Linked DNA regions of Caenorhabditis elegans. The protein of the gene in region 2 interacts with the protein of the main gene of each other region in a pairwise test. Each region holds a gene or a part of one and is shown on either strand. Other genes may lie near its edges. The genes, in order: hipr-1, pak-1 and chw-1.

The links.
Region 1: the proteins of pak-1 (region 2) and hipr-1 interact in a two-hybrid assay, tested with the Caenorhabditis elegans proteins (one large-scale study listed by BioGRID).
Region 3: the proteins of pak-1 (region 2) and chw-1 interact in a two-hybrid assay, tested with the Caenorhabditis elegans proteins (one large-scale study listed by BioGRID).

Annotation. Positions count from the first base shown.
Region 1 is NC_003281.10:8,718,607-8,722,362, reverse strand, and holds the start of hipr-1 (Huntington interacting protein related 1), read right to left. Parts: upstream 2,162-3,756; 5' UTR 2,160-2,161; coding exon 1,888-2,159; intron 1,840-1,887; coding exon 1,583-1,839; intron 1,523-1,582; coding exon 999-1,522; intron 915-998; coding exon 803-914; intron 722-802; coding exon 360-721; intron 1-359. UniProt on the Caenorhabditis elegans protein: Regulates pre-synaptic vesicle recycling at neuromuscular junctions of mechanosensory neurons. Plays a role in maintaining a normal defecation cycle.
Region 2 is NC_003284.9:6,046,753-6,050,508, forward strand, and holds the start of pak-1 (Serine/threonine-protein kinase pak-1), read right to left. Parts: upstream 1,853-3,756; 5' UTR 1,847-1,852; coding exon 1,766-1,846; intron 1,607-1,765; coding exon 1,528-1,606; intron 1,480-1,527; coding exon 1,373-1,479; intron 825-1,372; coding exon 677-824; intron 629-676; coding exon 414-628; intron 370-413; coding exon 277-369; exon of another isoform or gene 128-276; intron 11-127; coding exon 1-10. UniProt on the Caenorhabditis elegans protein: Required for hypodermal cell fusion, together with cdc-42 and ced-10, leading to embryonic body elongation, which involves dramatic cytoskeletal reorganization.
Region 3 is NC_003283.11:10,460,630-10,464,385, reverse strand, and holds the start of chw-1 (CHp/Wrch Rho-like protein homolog), read right to left. Parts: upstream 2,105-3,756; coding exon 1,904-2,104; intron 1,891-1,903; coding exon of another isoform or gene 1,798-1,890; intron 1,276-1,797; coding exon of another isoform or gene 1,139-1,275; intron 1,093-1,138; coding exon of another isoform or gene 1,022-1,092; exon of another isoform or gene 1,010-1,021; intron 995-1,009; exon of another isoform or gene 840-994; intron 522-839; coding exon 377-521; intron 329-376; coding exon 186-328; intron 37-185; coding exon 1-36. Other genes in the region: F22E12.3 (ShKT domain-containing protein), read left to right, coding at 1,022-1,092, 1,139-1,275, 1,798-1,890.

The DNA.
Region 1 (3,756 bases), on a different chromosome or scaffold from region 2:
GATATATCGATTTTCCAGAAAATCGGAAATTTTTGTTTTTTTTTTCAGATTTTCTAATTTTTCAACAAAAAAACAGCATTCAATTTTTTAAACCATTTTTGTTTTTTTTTAAGAAAAAAATATATATTTTCTTATGTTTTTCTCATCAAAATAAACGAAATTCGAATGAAAAAAAAAATGTTTTCTTCGATTTTTTGATTTTCGGGAATGTTTATTTTTTCGATGACACCCTTTCTCTCAAAGTGAGAATTTCAATTTTAAAAATTTGTGAATTTATTATGATAAATTTAATTATAAAAAAAGTCTAGGAGTTTCCGAATTTTGAATGTATATAAAACTTTAAAAAATTCAAATCTTACCCTTTTCAGCTCCTCAACTTCAATATCAGCCTTAACCAATTGAGTTCTCATCTCATCAACTGCTCCAGCATCACCCTCCGCCTTTGTCAAAGCTCTTCCAGCTTCTCGTTGAGCTTCTTCTACTTTTCGATTCAAAGCAGTAATCTCTTCGTCCTTATCGAATTTCGATTTTTCACTAGCTTCTAGTTGTTTTTGAATATCTCCTAATTTTGTGAGCGCTAAAACGTGTTCACTTCGGAACTTTTCGTAAACTCCTTTCATTTTATTAAATCTTTCCTCAGCTGCCGTTGCTTTCAATTCTGCTTCTTTTACACGTGCATCGTCTGTCTGAGTTCTTGATGCATCACGAAGTGCAAGCTCGTCTGAAAATATATCTAATTAATAATAATCTGACTTCCAACTAATTTTGAGAAAAATATCATTCTCCAAAAAAAAAAACGAACTCTTCAGTCTCTGTGCCTCCTCTCGATTCTCATCAGCTTCTCGTTTTGCGTGATCAAATTCTCCTTGCATTTGCAATAAACGGTTCTCATATTGTTCGATGCGGCTGCGCGCCTGGAAAATAGTAAAAAATGTTGTATTTTGTTTATTTTTATGATAGTTTTAAAAAAAAACTATATTTTAATAATCAACTCTTACTTCTTGAATGAGTCGTTCCTTCGCAAATTTTTCATCTTCAACAGCACGACTCAACATAACAATTTGTTCTTCTCTAGGATCTGGCTGACTCGATGGACTCGCTTGTTGTGGCTCTGCTTCAGCTAAATTCAATAATTCCCCGTCATGTCCGTTGAGAGAAGTTCCATCTTCTGAACCTTCCGAATGAAGATATGCATGAGGTGTTCGATAAGATTCAAGATCGGATTGTTGAAGGAAGTTCGGTGCATGAGATGGCAATGTTGGAATTGAAACAAGATATTTGAAATACTGAAGATTCGATGATTCTTCGTAAAACTTCTTAGTTCTCTCGAAAATTGTTCGGAATCTGGAACGATGACCTTCTAATGCATCTGGAGGAACTTGACTATGAAGTTTGAAGATCATTTTAACGAGATAATCGTAGAATTTACTGGTATCCAGAATTGCAATAATCAGTGGAGAAAGCATACATTGTCCTTGTGGAATTAGAGAATTCCAGCGTAGGGAATTCATCATTTCATACACTGAAAAATAGAAAATTAATAATTCAATAATTTTCCAGACTTGAAAAAATCATTACAAACCTCTATCCTGCAATACAAGAAGTGCATCCATCTGATCCAACATATCAATTGTCATCTCAAACATATTGTCTAAATCTCCTTCTAATGTTTTCAGTTGTGAATCATTCAAATCCAACTTCCCCGGAACAACTGGATATTTGTTGTGAAAAGTGACTCGATCGTGAAGTAATTTACAGTATGACTCAATGCATGGACCATATCCACTTGTATTCAAATGTTTCCAGAATTGAGAAAGTTGAGTGAATCGATTAACATATCTGAAAAATATTGAATTTAAGATTATCACTCCTTCAAAGAAACCCCACCTGTAAGTCTCTTCAGGAACCTTTCGATGTCCATCTCGAAGCAATTTGTGCACCAAATGACAGAACTTCCAAGTGAGTACAGGATGTTTCTCCAACTGAATCCGTCCTACAGTATGCCAGAAGATTCCAGATGATTTCTCCTTGTGTGTTCCTACTATTATGGTTCTCGCATGTTTTGGTTTCAATGGAACCTCATTTTTCGTGATCGCTTTCTGAACAGCCTCCAGTTGAGCTCGAACGAATACCTCGCGCGCTTGAGCACGATGATCCATTCCTGAAAAAAATTAATTTTTTTGGGGGCATGTGATAGAAAAAGTGTGAGGAGGAGATATGACTTGGCACATAATTTGCATTTTTGTTAAAAATTCCAATTTCAAAGAATATTCAAAACCCTGAAATCAAAACCATGACAAATCAATCTATTAGTTGCAAAATTGAGGAATATAGATGAAAAGTAAGTCAACTATTAGGCGAAAAGCTTTCCTCCCGCATATTTCATCACAGTGTGTGTGTGGCAACAAGCCGGTTCCGCGCGCGTTGTGGACAAAGTGAGTCACAAACAAAAACAGAGAGAGAGAGAGAGGGAAAAAGAGAGGAAATGATGTTATTTAGAAGAGAGGAAAATGAATCGGGTATCGCATATAGGTACTCAAGATTCTTATGATTTGTTCCATATTCGAACTAAACAGCAAAAATGGCTTGAGTTGAGAAGGCGAAGTGATCAGGTTAAGACTTTTTTGGTATTTTGAGTCACATTTTTTGAGAAAAAAAAGGTTTTTTGGGACCTAAATGAAGCCAAAAAAGTCACTTACAGTCCTTCAAAAATCGCAAATCGACGATTTTTTTTTTGGTATTTCACTTTAAATTCTTTTTGATTTTTGGTCCAGTCCTGGTAGTGACGACATATTCAAGAAACACTAAAACTTCAGCAATGTAACCGATTCGAAATAGTTCATAAACCATGAAACTTGCAAAAGCTTTACAGCTGTTTAATCGAAAACTTGTTCAGACAATTGAAAAGCAAAAAGTGTTTAATGAGAAGTTTCCACTTTGCAAAAGAAAACTACGTGAAAAAGATAGTCTAACATTGATTTTTATGTGCATAAGACCTCAAATGTGTCTTCTTCTTCTTTCAGAAACTTGTGCAAACTATACCACCGGGGGCAAACACTACAAAATGGTGACTCTTTCTCGCTATGCTACGGAAGTTTTTGTATTCTTACAACACAATTTCCGTAAGGGTTTTCGTGTTCACTGAACGGTGTTTGAGAAATAAATGGAAATGGGCAGAGAGGAGAAAAGCGAAAAAGACATGAAAGAAAATGGGAAAAGGTTTCGAATTTCGATGAGAAGTGAGCGAGTGTATTCCCCTTGCGTCGATTTGCAATTTGCATACTTGGAAGTTAGTCTCATAAAGAAAAGGTATTAAACGATGGTGGCCGGGAAATCGGGAAGTTATTCAATTCTCGACTGAATTAAAAATCGTTTAAAAACGAGAATCAAAACTTTTTAAAGAACAATGACTGCTGAATTTTAATGAAAAAAAATGTTGCTCTTCGAAATTAAGCTTCAAAAAATAATAGTTCTTGAGCTTCTTAGACAAAATATGACATCAATGGCTGGTCAACATTAAAATTTTGAAAACGAAGTAACTGATAAGCTCATGAAATTGTCCTTTTTCTCATCGAGACACAATGAAATGCATTCATGCCAGCAGAAATGCAAACATAAATGAAACGGAGGAATGTCGGATGCTTGAAAACCAAAAGAGTATTGCATAATGAATAGAGATGAATTAAAATGTGAAAAGAAAATGTTTAAATTTTTCGAAAATATTAATCTGTATTAAATTCTGGAAAAATATGTGAA
Region 2 (3,756 bases):
GTTTTGTGTACTGAAAATATACTTATATGTTATAGAGAACTTGGGAAAAATTCGGTACTTGTGTATTACATGCCCTCATTTTGAAATTGAATTAAATTTTCATTCATTTCTCCATATAATTTAAACGTGATATACATTTTTCCTCTCCAGGCTTAGAAAGATTATTTCCTAAACCTAGAAATAAAAAATGTGGTACACGTTTTTATTGTTTTTAACTTAAAAAAATACTCTAAAACTAAGGGCATGTAATACACAAGTACCAAAAATTCTACTCACAATACTCAACGTCCTTGCCGGCCTATCAGGGATAGCGGGAGGAACAATATCAGCAGGAGTTTCACCATGGGGGACCGGTGGCGGTGCATAACTCTGAAGCAATCAATATGAACTTCAAGATTATTCTTCCCACTTACCGGTGGCATACTCGATCTATTCTCATTTACACTAAACGTCGTCGGAGGAACTCCTTGCTTGCTGTTATACCCCGCACTACTTGTACTGGTTGTCATTGGATTCATCTTTCTTGGATCCTGAATTTTATTGCCATGATACGGCAGGGATGATGTGCTATATGGTTGCGGTTTCAGTCCGTATGATGGCGTCCGAGAAGGTGCGTCATCTATAAACACTGTAGAAGAATGAGCTCCATTAGCAAGACTGACTACGGGTTACTTACTCATATCGTACTGCAACCACTTCTGGCCGCTGCTTTCGCCTTGTGTGTAGTATTTGAGCGCGTCCAACACTGCCTGAGGATTCTGTTGCTGCTCTTGTTTTGAGATCTGTGAGTCTGTGAGAAGACGTGCCCATGCTTCAGGCATTCCCTGAAAATTTATATTGTTGATAAGGAGCAAAAGTTTCTGAGAAAAGTTTATAAATAAGATTCTACAGTAGTTTCTCAAGTCTATTCGACAAAACAGACCTCTTCATACTAAAAAAATTGGGACAATTTCATAGGTCTTTAGAAGAAACTATCTTTGGTTGAATACATGTTCGTGATAATTGGCTTCACTTAAATTTTTCTCGTATGGATTTGTTTTCTTAAAACGTCTCAAAAACGCAAGCTTTATTAACACTAACCATGGTTTCAAGAATAACACGTTTTTAGAAGATAATGCACTGAATTAACGGTTGCAAAATATTATTATAAATTGAGATTTGTTTATAATGATTTTTTGACTGAGGGAAAAAGTAAAAGTAGTAGTTTTTAGTTTTTAGCTTACTATTAGCATTCACGTTAATCTGGTACGATTAGCGGTTGCGACCGGTGTCAGAATGACAGCTGTATCACTCGTTCATCATTGGAAAATAATCTTGCAAGTAACGCAAGAGTGGGAAAACTGCTACAAAAACTTTTTGAAAAAATACTGACCGTAAATTCGCCGGTTTTTGGGTCATATCCGACATGAATTGTGTGTTCGAAATTGCTCGGTCGAGAGATCACTGGTTTTTCTGACGCTTCCTTTTTGTCTTTGTTCTCTGAAAAAAACAGGAAAATCAGGAATGGTTACAAGAGCAATATATTACTTTTCATGAACGGGTTAGGCATCGTCTTCTTTTTCTTGGTTGCTTCTGGCTCTTTGGGCAATGGCTTCAATCCGACGACCTGAAAAATTGAGTTAGTCAAGACATGGAGAATGGAAAAAAGAGAAATAGAGATGGGTGGGAGAGGGGCAAGCAACACATGCATCATCTGATTTGGAAGAAGAACCTTCGAAAGATTGTCGCCCATCTTTGGGGAGGAGTGGAGGGACGAGTTAATTACCTGATTCTCCCTCGTTGCCGAGCTGCTGAAACGAATTGGTGGTGCTGGTGGTTTCTCATCATACGATGAGAAAGCTTTCATTTTGGCAAGCCTGGAAAATTGAAACTGTTGGAAAAAGAAGACACAAGCATCAAACCAAAAAAGAATGAAGGAATACAGTATGCAATGTAAAACTGAAAAAGGAAAACAATAATTAGGAGGAATTTTCGTTGTCAAGTGAAATCGAAACTGTTGGAAAAATAGGAAAATTGGAACCAATATTCATGTTTTGTTGAGTCAAAAAAACATAGAAAAACGATCACAATAAAGAATCAGAAAAAGAAAGAACAAATTGCTGACCGCCCCCTTATAAAAAAATTGTTGGACTATGACTAACAAAAGAGGAAATTGATAGGAGCGGGCAGGGAAATGGATGCACAACACATGGTGTAAAGAGGACATTGACCCAGTGCTATGAGTAATCTTGGACCGAAAAAGCATGGCCCTTTCGCCTTTCGAGGTCGTCTATTGGATTGCTTTTCTATATTTTTTTAGTAATCTCAGGGTAGGAGTTATGGAAAATGTGGGACCCAGAATTTGACCTTTTCTTCGGAGTTCTCATTTGCATTATTGCTTCAAAGAGCCTATCTGCAACCAACGTCTGACGTGAGTTTGACCCGAAAAAGATAGATGGCTTTTTGGTTTTCAAAACGAAAGATTTCAAAGTTTAGGAGATGATGGATGGTGAATAAACTGGGCCAGAGGAAGAAGAAGGAATATTTTTCAAAGGAGAAAAAGAAGAGACGGGAATCTTTTTTAAAGTGTGATGATATGAGTCATTCATGTTTCACTTCATTTTATCGCCCACCACCGTGTGTTCGCGTACTTGTTTCCCGCTTGTCATCCAAGTGGCAATCAGCCGGATAATGTTCTAGAAGTGTGAAGCCGAAAAGAGTAGAAACTGTGAAACGAGGTTCGGAGTGAGTGACAATGTTGAGAACTAGTTTAGGAAATTAGAAAGTGAAAGCCGAAAAAAAGCTGAAAAGTTTGCATTCATACTAACGGTGAATGATGATACTTTTGGTCTAATACTATTCTCGATTAAAGGAGGGGTATCGGTTTTGGGTTTTTACTTGTAAGCACTCAAAATGTTCATAAAGGAACAAATTTAATAATGAGACCTCATAAAAATCATAGGGGGTTGATTGTGGCCATTTTCAATTACGTATGGGCTTTAAATGTACATTCATTAACAAAATAATGTAAGAAAATCACCAATATGCAATAAAAACATTCTAATCTTCAAAATAAATTTTCCAACAGCTGAGACATGAAAAAATAGCCAATTTTAATTAAAATTAGGTGTTTTTAAAATTTCAGACCGCCATAAAAAATTGTTGAACATTTTTTGAGAATCCTCATTACATAATCTGTTAATTTGGGAATATTTACAATCTAGACCTGCAAAAACCCAAAGGAAAATCACAAAACCGAAAGAAAAAAAAAAAAGAAAAATGAGAAACAAAATCTAGGTATCTAAGATTTTATTACACTGTCGATAAGAAATCCAATCTCATTTTGCACAATGTAGAAAAAAAACAGTTCGAAACCTGGACTGTTTGCTAGAAATGGAGAATGGCACTGTGTTTGTTGAACGCGCGCCATTTTCTAGTGTTATCAATTGAATGGAGGAAACAGAGAAAGATAACTAGTACGGTGGGTCGCGGATGATGCGGCCAAGGCAATTGATAAAGAGCTGCGGAGGGGCAAAACGGACGGATGAGGGGAGGATGTCGTTGGAGATAAAATCAATCGATAGCGGTCAAATGAAGAAGAACACACACAACCAGACATACGCACACACACATATACACGACAGGAAGGGGTGAAGAGGGAGTAAGAGATGTGAGTAAGAGAGATAGAACAACTTGGACAACCACCTAACATCTCGACCTCTCGACACTTATCATTTGGAGCTTCCTGAAATCTCAGTGAGCAGCAAAACTATTAGT
Region 3 (3,756 bases), on a different chromosome or scaffold from region 2:
TCCCTCGAGACCGGCCAAAATTGCTGCGTCAAACATCTGGAATCAATTCATTTATTTTCAGTGTTTAATTATACCGAAGTATTTTATTCATGCAAAATCAGGAGATAAAACACAGAAATGTTGTTTGGATTGAAAATTTTTCGTGAATTCAAATATCTTTGCGAAGTTCTAAGAAATCAACCAACCTGTTTTAAATTGTGTTGTGTCAGTGCTGAACATTCAAAAAATTCAGCTCCGAGTCTGTCTGCTAAAGCTTTTCCGCGTAACTGCGTGACAGTATTCCCACGTACTTGCCATCTCTGATCAGCTTGAGTTCCCACCAGAATTACTGAAAATTTTATTAAAATGGACTGTGTCCAAAAATTTGTATACATACATTTTGTCCCCGGATTTCTCTTGGTGACTTCCGGATACCAGTGATGTGACACATCTTCAAATGATTGTAAATCAACAACTGAATAAACAATGACAAAGACGTCAGCATCTGTGTAGCACAACGGGCGAAGAGTGTCAAATGAGGACTGAAAAAGAATTTGGAATTTAATTAAATTTAAGATCAAAGTGTAAATTTGTATATTATTTTTGAAAAGGTGGTTTATCAGTTCTGGGATGTTTGTAATCTATTTTACTCATTCATATTAGTAATATTTGTGCAATAAATTTTTTCTGAACTTTTCCTCGTACAGAAATGGGGCAAAAATCCCATAAGAGATCTTTTAATGAGTGTGAAAACTCAAAAAGTTAATATAGCATGCCATACATCTTCGTTTTAAACTAAATTCTGTTCTCGAATGCTCAATCCCTTTGAAATGCCGTTATTCTATTGTTTCCGGATTGCGCGCGCCGGTCCGAAACTCATCCGGTATTTGTATCCGCCATTGTGCATTTCTCTATTTTCGATTTGACATCCGACCCTGTCACCTCGGCAGAGACATTATTTGTTTTTAAATTTCTTGTCTACCATAAAACGAAGCCGCATATCCGAATGGGCATCTCATTTTGAATAGCTCACTTGTTCTCAATGTATCCTTCTGGAATCTTAGTCTCAACTTTGATAATATGTTTCATTGGATTTTCTTTTGGTTTCCAAAGGTTAACTTGTATTGTATTGGTCAATGTGTAACATTAGAAGTTGTAGGTATCCAGTGAGGAGGTTCAATCAACCAAATATTCGTAAATTACCACCAAGTATTCAAAGAATCAGAGCAACTTCAAGTTCAGTTCCTATCAGAACAACAACTGTGCAATCACTTCCGTATAATTTCAAAAACCTGGGTGAGTAGTTTCTCAGTTGTAAACTTTACAAAATTGAGCTTTAACTTTTAAACTTGAATTTTCCGATATACATAGCTTGTCGTTCAAATTTTTAGTTAGAATCTTAGTTTGTAGTTTTTGCCAAACTAAATATTTACAGTATTTTCTGTAATATTATGGCACCCCTACTATCTCACTTTGAAGAGTGGTATCGCGGTTTATTTTGATAATGATATAAATATATACCTAATTGCACAATGATATAAAAATAATTAAAAAATGTTTTGCCTGTTGACAATGTTCAAATAGAACAAATGAAAACTGAGATTGAACTGTAAAAGTTGTACTTTGGGGTGGTGATAATTTATAAATACCTATGTTTGTTTCGATTTTATTAAATTACAAATACAAAACCGGCAATCTAAAATTGAAGGATTTTATGCGAGACTAAAAAATACCAAAATATGGAACCAGTGCATAAGTAGTTCAAAATATCTTTTGAAAAATAAATTAATATTTTATGCTAACATTTTTTAATTCCAGAAAACATAACATCAATTCGGCAACTTTTAATGGAAACCGCAATTGCGCCAATGAAATCAGTTGGACCAGTTGCTAGAATCACCCAAAATATAAGTGAGTCACTAACCTGTCCAGCGGTGTCATGAAGCTGTAGACGTATTGGTTTCTTGTCAACTAGAACAACAACTGAGAAATTATCAAATGCCGTTGGCACGTAGTTGTGTGGATAAACATTTGTCGTGTAGCTAACTATCATCGAAGTTTTTCCAACTGCCGCATTTCCAACAAAAATGCATTTGAGACATTTCTCATCTTCTTCTTTTGCCATCTGTGAATTATTTACTTTAGGGGGTTGAGGAGAAGTGTGATAGACTGTAAATGAGGTAAATGATGCGAGAAAAAAGGGGAAAAAGTAGAAAGGGAGAAGTATCGAAAGACTGGATAAGAAACGGGTAGAACATTAACATAACTGACAAATAATGGGAAAGATCCATTACCAAGAAAATGTGATTACGTGGCGACAAAGATTCAATGATTCACTGCTTCTTTTCCAATGATTTTCATGATTTTACAATCATGGGTTTTCTTTTGACTTTTAAATTTACGGGGTCATCTGGATGGTAACTTGGTACTGAGTAGCTGAGATGCAAGAACTAATAGATACGGTCATTATTCTCGTAAGTTTTATTGGTTTTCGGGAAGCGGGGAACGCAACGAATACAAATGACCTCTATGATATTATAGTATTAGTAATAACAATAATAGTAAAATGGTAAAAGCGGCGAGTGAACTAAAATGGTAAAGAAGGAAGCAAGAGAAGGAATGAACTGGTCTACTACAGGGTTACAACGTCAACTGTTTTCATAGCAAATGTGTGAACATTTAGAAATCTTTTTTTTTTGATGAATAGAAGTCATGATGAGAAGAATAAAAAGTCATGAAGAAATGACCAAATCCGTCTATCGCCCTGATCGATAATTGCGTCGATTAATGGATGTAGATAATGTTTGATAATTGGTGACGGGAGAAAAGAAACCTGATCCAGGGATAGGTCCTAGTTAGCATACAATTTTAGAAAAAATGTTTATGCCAAAACGTTTTAGTTTGAATTACCACAGAGATTTGATAATACGGCTTGTAAGTTTCAGTTTTTTTTTTGTTGTTTTGACAGAGAGACAAATGGAGAACCAAACCACTTTTTAGTTATTTGTCAATTATCAAAGTTAGTAATTATTATTAAAATTTAGAAATTTTCTTAAAATGATTAGGAGTTTTAGAAGTGTGGACAATGTTTTCAAACATTGAAATATCATGCTACGCTAACAAACATGAAAACGATAAATTTAATATAATGTTTCAAAAAGGAAAAACTGAGATTAATTTTCGCGATAAAAAAGGTGTTGTCTGGTAAAATAAGTTCTATAAAATCCCAAAATGTTCTAATTGTATCAAATTTTTTGGACGTCTCCACCTAAGAGAACCCAAAAAACGGAAAGAAAACAATGATCGAGAAGGTCTCTGATCAGTTGGTAGTTAACATTCAAATACCAAATGTTCATTCATACATTGAAAATAAGAAGAAAAGAACAAAGGTATGTATACTTTTACGTATAAAAGAGATATCAGTATCTTCATATATACATCCGTCCGTAATACAAAAACCATGATTCGACCTTGTCAGAATAAACAAAATTGGGAATGTGTAGAAGAGGCAATCAAAAAAGATATATGGTCAATGAAGAAATCATCGAAAGGAATGGAAAAATTGGCAAAAGGAATCTGCTTGCTGATAACAGATAATAACGGAGGAGAGTGTGAGATGAATTTTCAACTGTCCATTCATCGAGAATTATTTCTGATTTCCTGAGAACCTGTTTTTCACTTTTCTTCATTTTCTTTCCATATATTTCTGGTTCAATAATCAACCATTCATAGCTATCGGAGAAATAAGTCTGATGGGAATTTACGAGGTGTTGATCG